Linked DNA regions of Arabidopsis thaliana. The protein of the gene in region 4 purifies or fractionates together with the protein of the main gene of each other region. This does not show direct contact. Each region holds a gene or a part of one and is shown on either strand. Other genes may lie near its edges. The genes, in order: AT4G26600, FIB1, NAP57 and AT3G12860.

Region 1 (6,384 bases), on a different chromosome or scaffold from region 4:
TGTTTCTAAGACACACACTGTCTTATTCAATCTGTTTCATGTCAACGTCTATGACTAGGTTCTATGTGTTATAAATAACTTGCAACTTCACCAAAAACATAATACATTTTTTTTTGACAGCCAAACTACATATATATCCTGCAAATGATAATATTTCAAATTCTAACACAATTTTACAAGAAATTTCAACCAATCAATCAAATTATTTTTGGTAGTTGGAATTAAAATTCACCAAAAATAAATTCGTGTTTTCATTCTTAAAGAAGAAACAGAATCGTTTAGAACTGATTTTAGAAAATTACGTGATTCATTTCAGTTTTTGTTATCAACATCACTAGCTTCAATCATGCATGGGCTGAGCATGTAACGCAGGTAGAGATGTCAAAATGGGTTAAAATTCATGGGTTAACTCAACTCAATTCAACCCATGAACTCTAATGAGTTGAAAATTTTGACTCAAATGAGTTAATGGGTCAAATGAGTTGATGAGTCAATTGGTTTGATGAGTAAAATGAGTTGGGTTGTAATGGTTAATGATTTCAATGGTTTACCCAATTAACCCATCAAGTTTTGTAAAATTGAATTAAACCAACTAAAATTTCTAAACCAATGCCAATTTAAGTTTAACCAACACATTTAAACCAATTTAATAAAATTAATATTTTTCCAAATTTCTTAAATATACAAGCGATGAAATTGATAAAAAGTAAACTCGTAATTTTTCACTAAAAAGATAAACCCGTGATTTTCCCGCCAAAAACGTAAATCCATAATTTTCCCGCCAAAAACGTAAACTCGTAATTTTCCAGCCAAAAACGCAAATCCGTAATTTTCCCGCCAAAAACGTAAACTCGTAATTTCCCGCCAAAAACGTAAACCCGTGATTTTCCCGCCAAAAACGTAAATCCGTTATTTTCCCGCCAAAACGTAAACTCATAATTTTCCCGCCAAAAACGTAAATCCGTAATTTTCCCGCCAAAAACGTAAACTCGTAATTTTCCCGCCAAAAACGTTAACCCGTGATTTTCCCGCCAAAAACGTAAACCCGAGATTTTCCTGTCAAAAATGTAAACCCGTAATTTTCCCACCAAAAACATAAACCCGTAATTTTCCTGCCAAAAACGTAAACCTATAATTTTCTCGCCAAAAACATAAACCTGTGATTTTTCCGCCAAAAACGTAAACCCGTAAAAAGTGGAATCCGTAAATATTTTAAGTTTGATGATAATGAATTAATAATATTAATTATTTATTATTGTTTTATAATAATAATTAATTAAATTATTATTTAAATGGGTTAACCCATTTAACAATTCAATCCATCAAATTAAATGAGTTATGGGTTGACCCAACTCATTTAACATCTAAACTTATTTGATTAAGAGTTGAGTTGGATTACCCATTTTGAAACCCCTAAACGCATACATCAAATAACTTATTGAATTATGTTTTTATAGGTTTTATGAATTCAGTGGCTCGATAATTTATTAGGCTGACAAAAAATAAGTTCGACTACAGCCCATTAGTTAGTATTAGTCAGGCCCATTAGTTAGTATCAATCAAGCCCATTAAGCAACTTTGCTCATCCTCCATCTTTACTAGATTCTTCGACCTTGCTTCTCCTACCTCTGCAATTCTGCTAAACCCTCACGGCGATAAACCCTAAGTTGTAAAAACCGTATCCATGGCTGCTCTTACGCGTAACAAGAAGAAGGGTTCCAATTCACAGACTCCGCCACTGAATAAGCAGACTAAGGCGTCTCCGCTGAAGAAGGCGGCTAAAACCCAGAAGCCTCCATTGAAGAAGCAGAGGAAATGTATTTCGGAGAAGAAGCCCCTCAAAAAGCCTGAAGTTTCCACAGACGAGGAAGAAGAAGAAGAAGAGAATGAACAGTCTGATGAAGGGTCTGAATCAGGTTCTGATTTGTTCTCTGATGGTGATGAAGAAGGAAACAATGATAGTGATGATGATGATGATGATGATGATGATGATGATGATGATGATGAGGATGCAGAACCCTTAGCTGAAGACTTTCTCGATGGTAGCGATAATGAGGAGGTAACCATGGGTTCTGATTTGGATTCTGACTCTGGTGGATCCAAACTCGAGAGGAAATCTAGAGCTATTGATAGAAAACGTAAAAAGGAGGTACAAGATGCAGACGATGAATTCAAGATGAACATTAAGGAGAAACCTGATGAGTTTCAGCTACCAACCCAAAAGGTTACATTTTCCTTTACTTAATTGTGGATTTGTTCATATTCTGGATCTCTGGAGCTATTTGTTAGCTAATCTTTTCTATTACTCTACATTGTTTAGGAACTTGAAGAAGAGGCACGTCGGCCGCCAGATCTTCCTAGCTTGCAAATGAGGATAAGAGAGAGTGAGTAACATTTTCAAATTTTATTCCTTTTTAAGAATTCTGGTGTAATGTTATTATTATGATTGTTTTAAATCTCCTAAGGAATCATCCTCTCGGTTCTTAGTTTAATGGTACTAATTTGTGTTTCAGTTGTTAGAATCCTGTCGAATTTTAAGGACTTGAAGCCAAAAGGAGACAAGCACGAGAGGAATGATTATGTTGGACAGCTTAAAGCTGATCTTAGTTCTTACTACGGCTATAATGAGTTTCTTATTGGAACTTTAATTGAGGTTATTCCCTAGTCTCTGACTTTACTCTTTATGCTTGCTTTGATCTAGAGTTATGTGTAGGAATTCTGTTACTTATACTCTTTAGTTGTAATCTTCTGGCAGATGTTTCCTGTTGTTGAACTCATGGAACTAATCGAAGCTTTTGAAAAGAAAAGACCTACATCTATACGTACTAACACTCTTAAGGTGAACTTGGTTGTGCATTGGAGTGTCTAAAACAAAGTATTTCTCAGCTGTTGTGATATTTCAATTAATGCTGATGTTTGTTTTGGTTAAGACTCGAAGACGGGATCTGGCTGATATACTTTTGAACAGAGGAGTTAATCTAGACCCATTAAGCAAGTGGTCAAAAGTAAGTAGTATTTGCAGATTGTCTTCCATTTTATTTGCGAAAACATTTTTGTGGACCATCTTTAGTTGATCCTGGCATAATATTTGTAGGTTGGACTTATCGTTTATGATTCACAAGTTCCGATTGGTGCAACTCCTGAATATTTGGCAGGATTCTATATGGTACTTGATTTTCTGATTTTTTTTGTACTTTTCGGCTCACACTTTATGGGTTTTCTTATTGTTTACTTAAGTATGTTCTTGGTACATTTTCAGTTGCAAAGTGCTAGTTCGTTCTTGCCAGTGATGGCCCTTGCTCCTCGAGAAAAAGAACGAGTTGTGGACATGGCGTAAGTCATTATCTTACATAAATGCACTATATTTGTGTCTCAGATAAATATATATATATATATATGATGACCAAGCAGTACCTTAATCTGATATTCAAGTGTAGCTTGTGATATGTATCATTTGTTATGATTGTTGTGATGATAAGTGCTGTCAAAACGGAAAAGCCAATTTGATTGTCCCGTGATGTGAGACATATGCAACTAGTATATTGTGATATCTGTAACAAGTTCTTATACCACTGCAGTGCTGCCCCTGGTGGTAAAACAACATATGTTGCTGCACTAATGAAAAATACAGGTATACATATATTGGTTCCTTATTCCTCCAGCCCCATAATTTTAGTCAGTTATATCTAATGTTATAATGTTTATATAACCAGGCATAATATATGCAAACGAGATGAAAGTACCTAGGCTTAAGTCACTTTCTGCCAATCTACATCGCATGGGAGTGACAAATACCATAGTTTGTAACTATGACGGACGAGAGGTTAGTTTCTTGAACCTTTATTCTTCTGTTGACGGTACATGCTTGAGGATGTTAAATATTGCAAACTGGTTGTAAACCATCAGCTCAACCAAATTGAAAAATTACTGGCAAGACTGTAATTGCACCAAATAACAAAGTTTTAAAGACAGCTTCTCTATTATTCCCTTGCATTTTTTATTTATCTCATCTTCTTTGCCTTTCAGCTAACCAAAGTTTTAGGTCAGAGCTCGGTTGATAGAGTATTGCTGGATGCTCCCTGCAGTGGAACTGGAGTAAGAAAGTTTGGACCATACACTCTTATAGTCTTTTAAGTGAATTTCTCTGTTCATAGTTTAATGTCACTTCTACACAATGCAGGTTATATCAAAAGACGAATCAGTTAAAACTTCCAAAAGTGCTGATGACATAAAGAAATTTGCCCATTTGCAAAAGGTATGTTGTTGCCTTAAACAATATCAACTAAAACATTCTTTACATCCAAGACAAATATTTAAACATGAAAATGGCATAAACGCCGTTTATACCCTCTTACTGTGAGTATATAAAGAAGGATGCATTTGGTATATAATGCTAACCATACTCTCTTCTTTTCTTGCGCATAGCAACTTATACTTGGTGCGATTGATTTGGTAGACGCCAATTCCAAAACCGGTGGATATATTGTTTACTCAACATGTTCAGTTATGATACCCGAGGTTGGTGAACCATACTTTTTCTGTTCCACTATTTTTTTTTCCTGGCATCTTCATGTTTTCTCACTAGTTCTATTTGTACAACAAATTATGCAGAACGAAGCTGTCATCGATTATGCTCTGAAAAACAGGGATGTTAAACTCGTTCCATGTGGACTTGATTTTGGCCGACCAGGGTAATATACATTTTCATCTGCATTGAAAAATTTCATGATTCGTCATCTGAACACAAATGTTTTGCTGCATATCTTCAGATTTAGCAGTTTTAGAGAACACCGGTTCCACCCTTCTTTAGAGAAGACTAGACGTTTCTATCCTCACGTGCACAACATGGATGGATTCTTTGTTGCAAAGGTATACACTTGGTTAACCTATGAATAGCTTTTCCCTGCAAAACAGATGTTTTATAAAATATGAATAGTGATTAAACCAACGAGGTATTTACTTTTTCCTTTCTTTGTTCTGCAGCTGAAGAAGATGAGCAATGCAATGCAGCCTTCAGGAAATGATGAGCCAGCTGTAACAATGGAGCAAGCTCAGGTGTCGTCTAGTGATGATGATGATGAGAAAGCTGAGGCCATTGAGGAGTTGGAGAAGCCACCTGTTGCCAGTGGGCAACCCAAGAGAGAGAGTAACACTAAAGAAGACACGAACAAACGAAAAAATCCAAGGTCAAAGGAAATTCACAAAGGCAAAAGGAATAAAAACACAAAAACCGAAAGTGGTAATGTGGAAGAACCCAGGAAGCAAAAGAAGAAGAGATCACAATGGAAGAATGAGATTGCTCAAGCTAGGTAAAAAAACTAAGTGTTTCCTTGACAGACAAAAGAGAAAACCTTCTTATGTACATTGTTGTATCATACACCCATTTACCCATAAATGGTTGAATATGTTGCAGGGAAGAAAAAAGAAAAACCATGAGAGAGAATGCTAAGGAGACGCCAAAGCACAGGGGATAAGAATAGGTTTGAGATCGTGATGCATCTTGAAGAGTAGAATATTTCGGTGTTCTGGCCATGGCGAAGGACACAAGAAAAGAGGCTTCATTGGCTGAGGCCAAGGTATCTATACAATGGCTTTCTAGTTTTGATTAATTTACTGCGTAAAGAAAGGGTGACACCCACATGGATTAGCTGTTACATGTCCAAAAGTTTTGTATCAATCACATAACTTGATTTTTGTGAGAGGCTGTTTCTATTTTCCGTTTTCAATTGGAGTTGTAAAATTTATTGAAAACAAAAACGAGTCCCTACTTTCTCTCACAAGTGTGTTTGAAAGGCTATTCATTTTTCTGCTCCTAGCAATTATTTAATAAAATACATAAATCTTGGAGGGTTGGGTCCATACCACCACATAAGGATAGAATTTCTCATAGTATTGATTTGACGAAAAAATAAGGGAATTGGGAGTGAGCTGGTCATTGTTAGGGAGAGATGTGAAGGTTTTCTGAAGTGGGACTTGAGTGTTGGAGAAACATGACAATCCAATTCAACTCTTCTTCATCCATCTTTATCAGATTCTCCTCCGTTGGGGACCTTACATTTACTTCTCTCACACTAATCTTCTTGTTTCTATTTTTAGATTATAAGCCCATATTATAACTGCTAGTGCTTGTAGCCTTGTATACACAAACTCACATGCATCACATATAACATCGTATAATTGCTGTATTCACTTTATATTTGGATATCCAAGATTATAGAAAAGAGATTCCTTTGCAGGACCCAAAAGATACAGCTTTTAAAAGCAAATGAGTTCATTTTAATTTCTTGCTAACCAAAATGGTAAGTAATTTTGTGGACTTATGGTATGGATAAATAACAAAATCTCAATAAACCATTGAAAATAGGAAATCAAAAAATATATTTC
Region 2 (4,910 bases), on a different chromosome or scaffold from region 4:
CCTCTCTCTCTTCAAGATGGAAGGTTGATATCTCTCTCTTCAAGATTGAAGATTGAAAATGTTCCCATATAGATGTGACTGTCACTTTCTTTAAACACTTTGCATTAGCAAAAATGTATCTTATGAGCTGTGTCTCTTCTTCGTTTCCTCTATATCCATGCCACACAAACTCCTCATCTAAATGAGCCGACAAGCATCTGGGAACAGTACCTTGGTTGGTACCATGACAATGGGAGATTTCCGGGTCGATATCCACTTACCTGGATGCAAGTACATAAAAATCTATGAGGTGGAATCAAAGAATCAGTTTATACAACAAGGAGATTGCGTTGTTACTTGTTACTTACAGAAGTGATAGCAAGAAATCTTAGTTTAGGAGAGTTGTTGAGAATTAGTGGAATTATATCCAACCAGAGATGGCCATGTGGACATATCACTAATTTTCCAAGTCGAGTGAAGGTAAAGCCACGAAAATCCAGAGCCTTCAATGACTAAATCAAAAGCCAATATAAATCAATGTGATCAAACCTAACAGCCAAGAAGAAAAAAAACAATAATAATAAAAAGGATAGATACCATTGGATCTTCCAAAGGTAACACAAGATACGTGACCAAGGAAATAGCTTTGAGAAACTTGTCATCAGTATGACATACAACGTCGATATGTGGCTTTTCAAGGCGAAGCTTATGCACCTTCGCGAAACGGTAGTCCCGGTTATCACTGATGGCGAGGCCCACTTTCGATCGGGCAAGAACTGAGCAACTTGATATAAGCCTCTCTAGAGAATTTTCATCTTTGAACACCACATAAAAAAGGCGTAATATGTTGAGTGACGGGAGGCAAACCGAAGAAGGAACATCCACTATAATCTTGTCCGAAAGAGTCAATTCCACAAGTGTTTTGCATGTGTAAAGACTCTTAGGCAAGCTGGTAGGCTCTGCCGTCCAGTGGAGCTCTAACTCTAGCTTGCGCACAAAGCGATCAACTGCATTTGCAACTAATTTCCCAACATCTACCTCAATAGAAAATTTTTACCGAGTTGGATGCACAAAGTTTCTAGAAAAGGTGCCTTGTGAAGTTCCAATAACTTTTCAAGAAACTTCCACACGCTTTCGCATTCATCACCAGGATCACTGTACTCGAGTTTAGGCAACAACGTCCAGACATAACGCCATCGTTTTGACAATATCATTGTCCCAACTGCATCTTTGATCGGTACAAGCAACAAAATCTGGATAAGCAAATCGTCGGGCAACGAACTGATCTCGTCTCTAGAAGCAACAACCTCTTCATCAATTCTTTGACAACGTTCGGCCATTAGTGATGTAATAGCTAGCTGAGTTTGTGATAAAGATTTCAAATATAGGTAAGCAGAGACGAGGAGGAGCAAGTCGAACCCTAAAAACTTTAGATGATCGAGAACCTTAGATATATTCGTAATTTCTCTATGAGAAATTGAGAATAAGTGAATAACTAACTCTTCTTGTCTCACAAAAATAAAACCCTAACTTATCTTTTCCGTGAGACATAAACAAACCCACTTTGGGCCAATAAAATCGGCCCATTATTATCTTGACCCAATCCGGATCAAACCCAACTCCATACTTTGGAGTTTGGACCCATCGTTACCAATGTAGTAGACTAATGTAGTTAAGATATATATAATAGAAGGGCCTATTTATAAAATACAAGAAATGTTACCAAAGCATAAACCCTAAAAGCCCTAAAATCTTAATATATAAACCAACTCACAGAGACTCTAAAATCAGCCACCACCGCACATCTCTCTCCTTTGCCCTCGTTTTTTTTCGGTTCTCGTCTTTCGTTCTTCACTTTTAGACAAGCAAATATGAGACCCCCAGTTACAGGTAAGAACCTTAGTTAAAGTTTATGTCTTTCTTGTTCTGTCTGCCTCTAGAGTATAACCCTGTCCGTATCAAATCTGAATTCGTATCATTACGGTTTCTGTAGTTTGAATTGGTAGTTAGGGTTTTAATTCATGAGCCTTTTGTATCTTCACTGTTTCAATAAAGTTCAAAGATAAAAGTAGAGATTTTTAATAACACTCTGTTCTTCCGTTTAGTTAATTTTCTGTATGTTGGTATTGTTATAATCAGGAGGACGTGGTGGTGGAGGATTCAGAGGTGGAAGAGATGGTGGTGGAAGAGGTTTTGGAGGTGGAAGAAGCTTTGGAGGAGGCCGTAGTGGTGACAGAGGCCGTAGTGGGCCTCGCGGCAGAGGACGTGGTGCGCCTCGTGGTCGTGGAGGACCACCTCGTGGAGGAATGAAAGGAGGAAGCAAAGTGATTGTTGAGCCTCACAGACATGCGGGAGTGTTTATTGCTAAGGGTAAAGAAGATGCTCTTGTCACTAAGAATTTGGTTCCTGGTGAAGCTGTTTACAATGAGAAGAGAATCTCTGTTCAGGTATGAAGTTTGAGGATTGTTTTCTTTATAATTAAATTGAGTTTGTTTTTGTTCTTATATTATAGCTACTTCACTTTTGCAGAATGAAGATGGAACTAAGGTTGAATACAGAGTTTGGAATCCGTTTAGATCTAAGTTAGCTGCTGCAATTCTTGGTGGTGTCGACAACATTTGGATCGTAAGTCCATCTATACACATACCACATTGACTCTGTTTTCTTTTTTTGTATTGAAAGACATGTGCTTGAATTGGTTCTTTGTTAAAACTTTTGTAGAAACCTGGTGCCAAAGTTCTTTACTTGGGTGCTGCTTCTGGGACCACTGTCTCTCATGTTTCTGACCTCGTTGGCCCTGTAAGTCTTTCACTAAATTATTATTTTAGTTATCCGTAGGTCCATTTCTATCCTATGTTTGAGACTTATCTTTGTTCTATTGCTTTATGATTTGTAGGAGGGATGTGTTTATGCTGTTGAGTTTTCTCATAGAAGTGGTAGAGATTTGGTGAACATGGCCAAGAAGAGAACTAACGTTATTCCAATCATTGAAGATGCTAGACATCCGGCTAAGTACAGAATGCTCGTGGGCATGGTTGATGTCATATTCTCTGATGTTGCTCAGCCAGATCAGGTTTGGTTCTATATTTCTTACTATGAAAGTTTGAAGTTACCCTTTCTACAGTTTTATTCACAAAGGTTACGTCATATTGCATTGCATCTTTTGCTTTTAAAATATCAGTTCATTGAAATCGGCATATGATGACATTTCATTTACTATGAAATGTTTGAAGCCTTTTTATTTTACAGTTATATCTTCAAAGTTTTTTTTTATTGCATTGCATCTTTTGCTTTTAAAAAAATCAGTACAATGAAATCGGCAGATGATGATTTTACTTGGATTCCCCTTCAGAACATTTATGGGTGTTGCAAACTCCAAGCTTCTGATGCTACTTTGTATCTTTTTACTAAAATTTTTTACTTTGAACATGCAAATCTGTTTTAATCTCAAAGTTTTTATTTGTCTTCATTTGGTATATCTTATCGATTTGGAAGAAGTCTTTTCGGTTTCTTCTGGTTTTCAACAATTGCATTTTCAAGTCATTTAGAAGTTTTACTTTATTACTAAACTTGGAGACTCAATTGTTGTAGCAATATTGCTGAGCTAGCAGAGATTGCTCCAAGAAATCTGCAATGATTCCATAAATGTTTCTATGTTTATGTTAATGTCTCTCTTTATTCTCATTTTGGTTCTCTGTTTATGTTTTATTTAATTGAATCCATCTATTTGCCTAACTCTTGAAGGCAAGAATCTTGGCCCTGAATGCCTCATTTTTCCTCAAAACTGGTGGACACTTTGTTATCTCAATCAAGGTCAGTGCTCTTATCCTTAATCAAATTCAACAATGTTCTCCTCTGTTATTATTCAATTTGTATTTCCGTCGCTAAATAAACATGTCTCATCTGTTCAGGCCAACTGTATCGACTCTACAGTTGCAGCAGAAGCAGTCTTCCAGAGCGAGGTGAAGAAGCTGCAACAAGAGCAGTTTAAGCCAGCAGAACAGGTGACTCTCGAGCCGTTTGAGCGTGACCATGCCTGTGTTGTTGGTGGTTACCGCATGCCGAAGAAACAAAAGACCCCAGCCTCATAGAGGAACTGTGGACAGTAGTGCCTGTGTATTAAGACTTATTTACTGGGTTTTGTTTTTATCTCCTTGCTTGTTGTATTAAGCTAGAGATGGATAATGCTTTTATGTCTCATTTGGAAAATTTTATCCTCGTTTTAGAACTAATATATATTGATGCAACATTTTCGTCCAATGATTGTATCTCCATCAGTCTTTTCTATGCTTGTTTTTGCTTGGCTATAAGAACTACTGTCCATTTTAATCCTACTTGTTTCTGCATGCTGAATTGATTGTTGAAGTAGTTTGTTTTGAACATGATTATGCTCAAGAAAAGGCGTAAAAGTATCACTTAGCTCTGAAAGGAACTCATTTTTTTTTGGTTAATAAAATTTTAAACACAAACAAACCGACTAAGTGTTATTGACATAAGTCTCAATACAGTTTCAAGTAATATTCGGCTTCTTCCACTATTGGATCAAAGTTATAGGCGCCTTCTTCCATCGGTAGCGCATTTTTAAGTATTGCCAATTGGCGTGACCAATGAAAATAGTAAGTTTCAAAAGAAAACGGGTAATCAGCAGAGGTAGAATCATTGTGGCGTCTCAAATCTTTAATTTTCTCAAAACAACGCTTCTCTAGATTCCCGACAAGGTTGATACATTGGCGTAAATCGAGGTGTTCCAGGTGAGGACAACCGTCAAGAATGGCGTTTAAGCCTGTTTTGGTTAGTTTGTTCCCACAAAGCTGGAGATGGCGTAGTTTAGGCATGCTTTCTGCAATTGCTATGGCATCATGATCATCATCATCCGAACTTAAGTAAAAGAGGCGGTTTAGCATCAATGTCTTCAGATTTGGACAAGACAG
Region 3 (4,472 bases), about 17 Mb from region 4:
TTCTCTACAGACTTGACTCTCTTCTAAGCATTTTATCTTAGTTACTATTAGATTATTTGGATTTTGCCAAATGGGAATGTAAATGGTTGGGTGACCCAATTCATGTTGCACATTATTGGCTTTTACCCTCTGCTTTTTCTTCCTAGCTTCATCTAATGATTGCACCCTATTTATTTAGTATGATCATTTTGATACCAAAATTCAACAATTTGTAAAACTGATAACACCTTCATAGCCAACTTAAAGAACTTGCTTTTATATAAGGCAACGATAGAAAGAAATAAGAACAAATTGTAAAGAGCTAGGACAGTGATATTTGCGTTGAAATTACGCTGGAATTACAAGAATTCAAAGATCCACACGAGGCACATTAGAGGTTTTTTAAAATCTAGAAAACACTCTGTTTTTTGGGTTAAGGTCAGCCTTAAATAACAGCCAATCCTGATATACCCTTGAAACTTGATAGATAAATGACCTTATTGAGTTAACGAAAGAAAAGACATGAGAATTGATGAAGCTATGACAAAAACCAGATGTATCACATGTCATCTTCGATCCAAAGTGGCTGCTTCTTCCATGTTTGTGACTGATTAGTCTTCTTTTCACGTATAAACAGAGACAGAGAAGCACGAGTTTCATCAATCACTACTAAACCATCTCTCTTTTGGGTTTTCTCCAGTTTTGGATTGGTGGCGACAAGGCTTGTCGTAGCCGGAGGAGAAGCTCGTGGGTAGAAGAAGTCGGTCGGGAAGAAACTATATTGAAGGCCGGCCATTTCCTACTTCAGCCCAGTGTTTTCTCTTTGGTGAGTTTTAGGTTTAAAGAAAAATTGTTTGTTTGTTAAGCGACTATTTATTGGCGAGACAAGAGAGAGAGCCAGAGAGCTGACTTTACCTAAATGCAGAAACTTAAGGTGTAAAATGTAAAAGTCTGAAACAATGGGACCTATATTCTTGAAAAAACTTGGGGTTATTTTTGTTCATTATGCGAATCAGTTAGCGTAAATAAGGATATTCGAAGAATTATTTCACTATATTCTAGGGCGGTGGTTGATTTGTTCAAGAATTTTAGAATCAAATCGAAACACTTCACTCGAAACATTTTAAAATCGTGATAATTTTTCATGTCTTTGAATGGCCACATAAATCTTATGGTATTTATATATGCGGAAAAAGAGAGTAGTATACACTTAACTATATTCATCCATATTTATGATTTTCTGTGGTCAAGACTTGGTTTTAGTAATATAAGGATTGTCTTCTTGTTACTGAAAAAGACAGACGTTCGACTCTTAATATAATAATTATCACGAGGCGTTATTCATGCTTCATTAGGTTTATATGACCAATCAATACTTCTAATTATATAAGCAGTTTTATTAACATAACATTCAATTGTCTCGTATCAAAAGAGCTTTTTTCTACATTTTGGGCACAACAAAAGAGAACCTTAATTATCTACACAAAAAGGGTTATATTTACTTTGAAGTTTGAACTATGAAAGGTCTTTAAACTGGTATTCACTTCACGAATGATAATATTCAAACGAATTGAACTTGTATGAAAGTCCAATTAAAGGTTTTATCGGGTATATGGACCTCGTTTATTTGGGCACTAAACGAATTGAACTTGTATAAAAGCCCAATTAAAATCAAAGAAACCCAACTCAAGCCCAATAAGGGATTACCTTCAAGCTTCCAGTGTCATCACTGTCGCCTAAAACCCTAAAAAACCCTAGTCCTTTATAAATTACCAATCAGTCGTCTCCTCTTTTTCCGCTACAACTTTTAACGCCTCCTCCTCCATTTTTCAAAACCCTAATCCGACCGGAGCCATGGCGGAGGTCGACATCTCACACTCGAAGAAGAAGAAGCAAGACAAAACGGAGAACGATGCCGCCGACACCGGAGACTACATGATCAAGCCACAGAGTTTCACTCCAGCCATCGACACTTCTCAGTGGCCCATCCTCCTCAAGAACTACGACCGCCTCAACGTCCGTACCGGTCACTACACTCCAATCAGCGCCGGTCACTCTCCTCTGAAACGTCCTCTTCAAGAGTATATCAGGTACGGTGTCATCAATCTCGATAAACCCGCGAACCCTTCTTCTCACGAGGTCGTTGCTTGGATTAAGCGTATCCTCCGTGTTGAGAAAACCGGTCACAGTGGTACTCTTGACCCAAAAGTCACTGGAAACCTCATTGTCTGTATTGACCGAGCCACACGGCTTGTGAAATCGCAGCAAGGTGCGGGTAAAGAGTACGTTTGTGTTGCTCGGCTTCACTCAGCTGTCCCTGATGTTGCTAAAGTAGCTAGAGCTCTTGAATCGCTCACTGGAGCTGTGTTTCAGAGGCCTCCTTTGATCTCTGCTGTTAAAAGACAGCTTAGGATTAGGACAATCTATGAAAGCAAGCTGCTTGAGTATGATGCTGATAGGCATTTGGTTGTTTTCTGGGTTTCTTGTGAGGCGGGTACTTACATTAGGACTATGTGTGTTCACTTGGGTTTACTTCTTGGGGTTGGTGGGCATATGCAGGAGCTTAGGAGGGTTAGGTCTGGGATTTTGGGTGAGAATAATAACATGGTTACTATGCATGATGTGATGGATGCCCAATTTGTGTATGACAACTCCAGAGATGAGTCTTATCTTAGGAGGGTGATTATGCCTCTTGAGATGATATTGACGAGTTACAAGAGACTTGTTGTCAAGGATTCTGCTGTGAATGCTATCTGTTATGGTGCTAAGTTGATGATTCCTGGGTTGTTGAGATTCGAGAATGACATTGATGTTGGTACTGAAGTCGTTCTTATGACTACCAAGGGTGAGGCGATTGCCGTTGGGATTGCTGAGATGACAACATCTGTGATGGCTACTTGTGATCATGGTGTGGTAGCTAAGATCAAGCGTGTGGTGATGGATAGAGATACCTACCCGAGGAAGTGGGGATTGGGACCAAGGGCTTCTATGAAGAAGAAGCTTATTGCTGATGGGAAATTGGATAAGCATGGGAAGCCTAATGAGAAGACTCCGGTTGAGTGGAGCAGGAATGTGGTTTTGCCTACCGGTGGAGATGCTATAATTGCTGGTGCTGCTGCTGCTCCTGAGGAGATAAAGGCTGACGCTGAGAATGGAGAAGCAGGGGAAGCGCGTAAGCGTAAGCATGATGATAGCAGTGATAGCCCTGCTCCTGTAACAACCAAGAAATCTAAAACCAAAGAAGTTGAAGGAGAAGAGGCTGAAGAGAAGGTGAAGTCTTCTAAGAAGAAGAAGAAGAAGGATAAGGAAGAGGAGAAAGAAGAGGAAGCCGGGTCTGAGAAGAAGGAAAAGAAGAAGAAGAAAGATAAGAAGGAGGAGGTTATAGAAGAGGTAGCTTCACCAAAGTCTGAGAAGAAGAAGAAAAAGAAGAGCAAAGACACCGAAGCTGCTGTTGACGCAGAAGATGAATCAGCAGCAGAGAAGAGTGAGAAGAAAAAGAAAAAGAAGGATAAGAAGAAGAAGAACAAAGACAGTGAGGATGATGAGGAATGAGATGGGTTTGCGTTATGGTGCTTTTTAAGTTTTGAACTCTTTTGATTTTGCGGTATCTATCTACTCTGGAACAAAGTGAGACAAAAGGCATTTTATGCTTGTATTCTACGTCTCGCTTACGTTACCAGATTTTATGTTTTTGTAAGGTTAGTTTCAGTTCTAAGCAGATTCTCCCTTTAGTTATATGACTGTGGTCTCTCTCTCTGTTTTTGGTCTTTGCCCTTCTTGTCTGTCTGTTTGTCTGTTTGGCAACGAGGATAATAATAGACCTAAATCAGTATTAAAAGTTACGGGTTTTTAACTTTCAACAAACGGGCCTTAGCCCTGACCAAAAAATGGGCCTGATTACGAGAACTCAGTCCTTTGTTGTCTGTCGCTGGGTCTAGAGATGATTATCTCGGATAATACCGAACTTATTTAATACGAACCAGAGATGTTTGAATTCAACGGTTTTATATTCGTCGAGTTTCAAAAAACAGAGACTATTTGTGCAAAAAGACAATTTTTTATTCTTTTGCAATTTGTCGTGTTCGCGAGTTTATGTTCCCAAAATTAGAAAGTCCAAAGATTAGCTTGGGTCTTACTTAGATCGCCAATTTTGTCTCATAGCAAAAATGAATCTCAGGTTTCATTTAAATGAATTTCCTCTGTTCTTCGCTAAAAACGAAATCTTGAAGTCCTCTATTATACATCGGAATCTTTTCTTTTTCTATGTTATCTTGCAGATCCCTATGCCTCCCATCACTTGCTGTCTCATCTTTCTCAATTTCATTCCTCGGTGGGTTAGCGATATCTCCTTCTCTTCTCTAATGGGTTTGAAAAAATCGATTTTTTGATTCATCTGATTCTGGTCTTACAGACAAAATTGGCATCTGGGTTCGATTCTTTGTGTCCGTCGTAAAAACCAGTGATTAGGTTCTCGTCTTCGAGTCGGAGACAAT
Region 4 (5,128 bases):
GCTATCTTCCTTGGGGATCATTTGGGCGGTACGGTACAAATCTGAAGTGGAATCGCATCTTGAGAAGTTGTTGGAGAGGGAGAAAGAAGATGCGAAGCTGTTGCGTAAATGTGTTGAAGAGTTGAAGAAGAAAGGTATCGAATTTGATTTGCTTAAGGAAGTGGATGCGCTTCGTAGAGCCAAGAGTTTAAGAGTTGAGTCGAAGCCTGTGAAGAAATGGTCTGCTAGGGATTTTGTGACGCTCTTCTTCTTCTCTGTTTCGTGTTTGGTTCTTGCCATGATTAGACTCATTCTCTGCGATTGATTCTTTTGCTCTTTTGTTGCTATGCTTTAGCAGAATTCTCTGGTTTCTGCAATTTTAGTGATAATAAAGAAAAACAACATGTTTGATTCATCTCCTTCAATCCTTTTTTGTAATGTTAATTTGTTTTGTCGACATTTTCAAAGAATTGAGCAAAAACATATCCATACATACTTGAAGATCCATTTCAACATCAACAAAAATTTGATCATCTTCAAAAGTTAAAAACCAGACCTGATAAATAATCAAAAGCTTGTTCTTTTGTTTAAGACAGACTCAATTGTAGAAAATCTGATAATTATATATGTTTTTAGTTGTTTTTAAGTCATAAACTCGCAAGACAGAGACTCAAGCTTGTTTTCATTTGGCTAAGACAGACTTAATTCAAAAGTAGAAAACCTTATCTAATTTGCGCTATGTTTAAAGTTGTTCTTAAAGTCAAAACCCTATGTAGAAGAAAGAAAACTAAAAACTAGTGTATTACACAGACTTGTTTGTTTATTCATCATCTTGTGACTTAGTTTTCTTCTTCTTCTTGCTATGGCCATTATCTGTTGCTGTCAATTCCTCTCCTTCTACTGCTTTGCTTTTCTTTTTCTTTTTCTTTGATTTCTCCTCTTCCTTCTCCTCCTCCTTCTCCTCTGTCTTTCTCTTCTTTTTCTTCTCCGAAGCATCCACTGTTTTTTCTCCCTCGTCTTAAAAAAAGAAGAAACAACCCATCAAACAAAACCGTTTACCACAACAGATCAGAGAGCTTTGTTGGGTCATATGTACCTTTCTTCTCAAGATTTTCCAACACTTCTTTCATTACATCAACATTCTTACGTGGGGCAACACCTTTGTCATAAAAGTCAAGTCTTTCCTCTACTTGTTCCCTTAGTTTCTCACCGAAAGCTGTAGTGCTGTTATCTGCATAACACAACCACCATGATTTTGTAGTTAATAACAACGCATCATCTCCCAAACACCTCTCTCTTATTCAGGACATTCTCTAGATTATTACCTGAGAAACAATCAATCCGGGAAGCAATGGAACACTTGTTTGCAAGGAAACGAGCAATACGGCCCTTGTTTTTAGCAGATGCACGCCCGATGAATGATGAATGGAATATTAGACCATATTTGGGTGTGTTTCCACGTGTTTTCAGTGCCCTGAAATTAACACCAAAGTTAGTTACTGCAGTGTAATTAAACTTGTAAAGACTAACAAAGCTTGAAATGCACCTGAAAAGTGCCTTCTCAGCACCGAGAATCTGGAGGGTTGAAGATGGGCACTTGGCAAGATTTGTCAGACTTCCTGCATGTGAAATCAACCTAGCCCCAACCATCTCTCCGATCAAGGCCGCCAAATTTGGAGCAATGTCACTCATTTTAGTAACAAGATAATCATAGAGCTTCTTCCTGTAATCTGCAAGGTCCATAACTCTCTGAGCAAAGGTCTGGACATTGATCAGATCAACCGGTGATAAATCCTGGCCTTCAAATAGAGAAAACAACAATGTCTTAGAACATGAGAAACAATAGATATATTGTAAAGATTCATGATTCTTATCGAACATGCTACATCAGTTTATTACCCATAGATGCTTTTCCAGCTTCAATAACCTCTCTTGCCTTATCTTCATCACCCAGGGCTTCAGTAAGCATAGGGATGTGCTCTTCAGACAACTTTGACTTGTCGACGATAATCTTTGAAACTTTGGCGTAGAGGTAGTTGTCATTAACTATCTTGACAAGCTCAGGGAAGTGCCATGAGTACCATTCTCTGCAAAAACATAATATGAGCTGCTCAGAAACCATTTTCTCTTACGGTAACAGACAAGACATAATCTGAAAGGCAAAACAATAAGAAAACAAACCTGACTCTCATAGCAAAGGAATTGATATCCTTATCAAGTGTGTCAAGCATGAAAATAGCTTGAATAACCATGTTATCCACCCGGTTAACATTGAACTTCACCTTTGCTCTGCTGTAGCTATGAGCTAGTCCAAGTTGAGCTTTTTCCAAATCACCAGGCTACATTATAAAGAAGATGATATTGAGCACGAATAGCAAAAATATGTGTAGGTATTAGGTAATCAAAAATAAAAAACACACCTTCAAGTCTTTGATGAACCTATCGAAATGCTGACGCACACCTCTAAGGAGCTCATGGACAAACTCATTGCTCTGGCAAGGAATTTTGGTAGCTTCAAAAATGCAAGAACCGATTTTAGGCTCAGACACTCCCAAACTAAACTTGGGCTTCTTGCCTTCCTTCACTTTCGGGAGATTCAGCTCCAGAAAACTTCTCAGCTCATCGCTCATGTATCCTACGATTTTTAAGGTGTAAAAACAATACAAATATTAATACTTTATTATCAAGACCTCCAGCAAAAGCTAAAACAGAACAGAATAAGCTGATTCCAACAGTAGTAAGAGCTCAATTTCTAAGAATTAAGCTCTTTCCAGCATAAACTATAATAGAAGCAAGTAATAAAGTATATGGTGCAGGAAACTAAAGAGGGAAAGAGCTGTAATTTAGTAGTGAGTTCACCTTCAGAGACGGCGTTGATTTGGTTAAGAGCATCGAGTGCAGACTGGAACGGGTGAAAAGCAGTGAGCTGGACGACCCGCCCGAACCGACTAAGGTCCGAGACGGAGCTCCGAACCGCCTCCGTGTTCTGTCCAATCTCATCGGAACCGTGTCCCTCGAACAATCCGTAGCCGGAGGGTGATTCGGAAAGAAGATAAATCTTCATTGTAGAGAGAATTCTGTAAAAACCCTAGCCGTCTTTTTCAAAATTGATTTGAAAATCGAGTATTTATGCAGTTTCCGTTTCGGAGAAGAATAAGAGAAATTAGGGTTTAAGGTTATTTCGCACGGAAGATGATGCGGCTTTGCTCTTAGATTAACTACATGGGCCTGGCCCATTAATTCTATCGGACTCAACCAAAATGACTAGCATGGGTCAATGGTCTTCATGTAAGGAAAAAAAAACAAGCTTTTGTTATACAAAGAGGGAAAAGTTTAGGTGGTCTCAGGTGAAGTACACGCGCGTGGGCTTCAGTTACTGTGGAAGGGCCCGTACCAGATCATATCAGTTAGTAATATAAACAAACTAATTGATCCGTTACAGAGTTGAGAGTCGTCTTCTTTCTTGTTGATCATCTTCTTCTTCTTTCTCCTGTAAAATTAATCTGTAACAGAGAGAAAGAGAGATACAAGAGAGATAGAAGGTCCTGTAGTCACATCATCGAAGGGATTGCTGAAGACCGTACGTGTGAGTTCTTAAGATTCTTTCGCTCAAGAATCTGCAACAGAACAAGACGATTAGCTCAACTAGTGAATCAATTATACTCGTACAGATTCAATTTGCGAAATCTCTCGATTAGAAAGAGGAACTGAGGTCAGTTTAACTCTTCTTTATTCCCAAATCGTGCAAAGTTGCGGTAAATGTAATGTTTCGATTGAAGCTTTTGACTTTGATGCATGGGTTTATTTGTTATGTAAAATCATATTGCAGTAGAAACTTAGCTTCATCTTTTATGCTAGTAAATGAGATCTATCTCTCAGAACTGTTAATTTGTGTTGTTGGGACACTTCTCTAACTTTCTTTGTGTTTCTTGAATAGGAAGCAATCGTCGTTTAAATTTATTAATCGTCATAGATTCAATTTGGAGAAATTCTATCGCTTAGCAAGATAAACAGGTAACTTCAACTATTTTTCTTTCCAAATCGTGCAAAGTTTCTTTGATTGAATCTTTTGATTTTGGTGAATGATTTTGTTTTTGTGACATAATTCGTTTTTGTAGCAGACTTACTTAATTTTTCATGCAATTAAATGAGATTTCTCTCTCGGAACAGTTAATCTGTGTTACTTTCTTTAATGTTTCTTGCATGTGAAGTAATCTCCGTTTAGAGTTAATCTTGTCAGTTTTAATTTGGAGAATCCATCGACTAGCTAGATTAACAGAGCATTGAGTTTGGTAGAAAAATATTGTTTATGACACACACAAATTTGTTTTCGCAGCAGAAACTTAGCTTAGTTAATTTGTTAATCAGATTTAACTTCATTTATCTTTCTTAAGTGTTTCTTGCAGACTAAGTATTGAAAAAACTATTGGTTAACAAGATGGATATTGAGGTAATTTTAAATAGTTTTTTTTTTTTCAGTTTAGTTCGTGCAATGTTGCGTTTTACTGTAAAATCTATTGGGTTATTGTTGTCAACAAAAAAGAAGAAGAACATATTGTTATCGTTAAGTTGAAAATCTTGTTTAATGACCTTTACTTAGGGTGATGATCAATTGGACTTGGATGTGGAAGCTTATTCACGAAACTACGAAGGACGAAACCTAGTGCTGAGGCTACTTCATATCGCAGAGAATTCTGTTGGCCCGATGTTCACTGACGATTTGGAACTTGAAGCCCTTCGACTTGCCTATGATCTTATCCGGAATGACGGAATTGTCTGTGACATGCGTTTGTTCACAGTTATAGCTGAAAAAATACAAGGCAGATTAGGAGAAGGTTATCTCTTGGATGAAAAATGGCGTCTTACTAAGAACAACAATTTCGTCAAACAAGACAGCATTCTAAGAAACGACTTAGAAAGTGCTACGGTAAGGAAAAGTGACTATAAAACTTTGCTTGCGCAACAAGATTCCATATTGTACATCTAATCTTCTATTCTTTTGCAGGACGAACTCGAAAAAGACCGTCTTGCACTTCGTCAGTATTGGCTCCATTACCACTGTGGCCAAATGGCGATCGTTTTCCGACCATATCCCCGGCAGGTCCAAACTATCGATGCTTACATGGCTACACTATTGGTGGCCCTCGAG

Evidence for each region.
Region 1: the proteins of AT3G12860 (region 4) and AT4G26600 fractionate together in Arabidopsis thaliana (co-fractionation; one large-scale study listed by BioGRID). This does not show direct contact.
Region 2: the proteins of AT3G12860 (region 4) and FIB1 fractionate together in Arabidopsis thaliana (co-fractionation; one large-scale study listed by BioGRID). This does not show direct contact.
Region 3: the proteins of AT3G12860 (region 4) and NAP57 fractionate together in Arabidopsis thaliana (co-fractionation; one large-scale study listed by BioGRID). This does not show direct contact.

The regions. Positions count from the first base shown.
Region 1 is NC_003075.7:13,417,945-13,424,328, forward strand, and holds AT4G26600 (S-adenosyl-L-methionine-dependent methyltransferases superfamily protein), read left to right. Parts: upstream 1-1,616; 5' UTR 1,617-1,684; coding exon 1,685-2,224; intron 2,225-2,320; coding exon 2,321-2,384; intron 2,385-2,513; coding exon 2,514-2,653; intron 2,654-2,755; coding exon 2,756-2,839; intron 2,840-2,930; coding exon 2,931-3,005; intron 3,006-3,094; coding exon 3,095-3,166; intron 3,167-3,259; coding exon 3,260-3,333; intron 3,334-3,578; coding exon 3,579-3,631; intron 3,632-3,713; coding exon 3,714-3,823; intron 3,824-4,026; coding exon 4,027-4,095; intron 4,096-4,180; coding exon 4,181-4,255; intron 4,256-4,425; coding exon 4,426-4,691; coding exon of another isoform or gene 4,692-4,695; exon of another isoform or gene 4,696-4,769; coding exon 4,770-4,869; coding exon of another isoform or gene 4,870-4,896; exon of another isoform or gene 4,897-4,983; coding exon 4,984-5,309; coding exon of another isoform or gene 5,310-5,313; exon of another isoform or gene 5,314-5,413; coding exon 5,414-5,474; 3' UTR 5,475-5,847; downstream 5,848-6,384. UniProt on the Arabidopsis thaliana protein: Involved in ribosomal large subunit assembly. S-adenosyl-L-methionine-dependent methyltransferase that probably methylates the C(5) position of cytosine 1586 (m5C1586) in mitochondrial 26S rRNA.
Region 2 is NC_003076.8:21,292,440-21,297,349, forward strand, and holds FIB1 (fibrillarin 1), read left to right. Parts: upstream 1-1,707; 5' UTR 1,708-1,850; coding exon 1,851-1,869; intron 1,870-2,118; coding exon 2,119-2,426; intron 2,427-2,508; coding exon 2,509-2,604; intron 2,605-2,700; coding exon 2,701-2,778; intron 2,779-2,875; coding exon 2,876-3,052; intron 3,053-3,296; exon of another isoform or gene 3,297-3,370; intron 3,371-3,723; coding exon 3,724-3,792; intron 3,793-3,890; coding exon 3,891-4,070; 3' UTR 4,071-4,380; downstream 4,381-4,910. Other genes in the region: EDA41 (FBD, F-box and Leucine Rich Repeat domains containing protein), read right to left, coding at 1-255, 344-482, 577-1,017, 1,110-1,319; AT5G52480 (RNI-like superfamily protein), read right to left, coding at 4,479-4,910. UniProt on the Arabidopsis thaliana protein: S-adenosyl-L-methionine-dependent methyltransferase that has the ability to methylate both RNAs and proteins. Involved in pre-rRNA processing.
Region 3 is NC_003074.8:21,153,314-21,157,785, reverse strand, and holds NAP57 (homologue of NAP57), read left to right. Parts: upstream 1-1,710; 5' UTR 1,711-1,833; coding exon 1,834-3,531; 3' UTR 3,532-3,971; downstream 3,972-4,472. Other genes in the region: SDP1-LIKE (sugar-dependent 1-like protein), read left to right, coding at 4,471-4,472. UniProt on the Arabidopsis thaliana protein: Plays a central role in ribosomal RNA processing. Probable catalytic subunit of H/ACA small nucleolar ribonucleoprotein (H/ACA snoRNP) complex, which catalyzes pseudouridylation of rRNA.
Region 4 is NC_003074.8:4,089,593-4,094,720, reverse strand, and holds AT3G12860 (NOP56-like pre RNA processing ribonucleoprotein), read right to left. Parts: upstream 3,155-5,128; 5' UTR 3,044-3,154; coding exon 2,839-3,043; intron 2,615-2,838; coding exon 2,400-2,614; intron 2,319-2,399; coding exon 2,161-2,318; intron 2,067-2,160; coding exon 1,879-2,066; intron 1,779-1,878; coding exon 1,526-1,778; intron 1,454-1,525; coding exon 1,305-1,453; intron 1,211-1,304; coding exon 1,076-1,210; intron 997-1,075; coding exon 800-996; 3' UTR 526-799; downstream 1-525. Other genes in the region: AT3G12870 (uncharacterized protein), read left to right, coding at 1-304; AT3G12850 (COP9 signalosome complex-related / CSN complex-like protein), read left to right, coding at 4,418-4,429, 4,580-4,906, 4,985-5,128.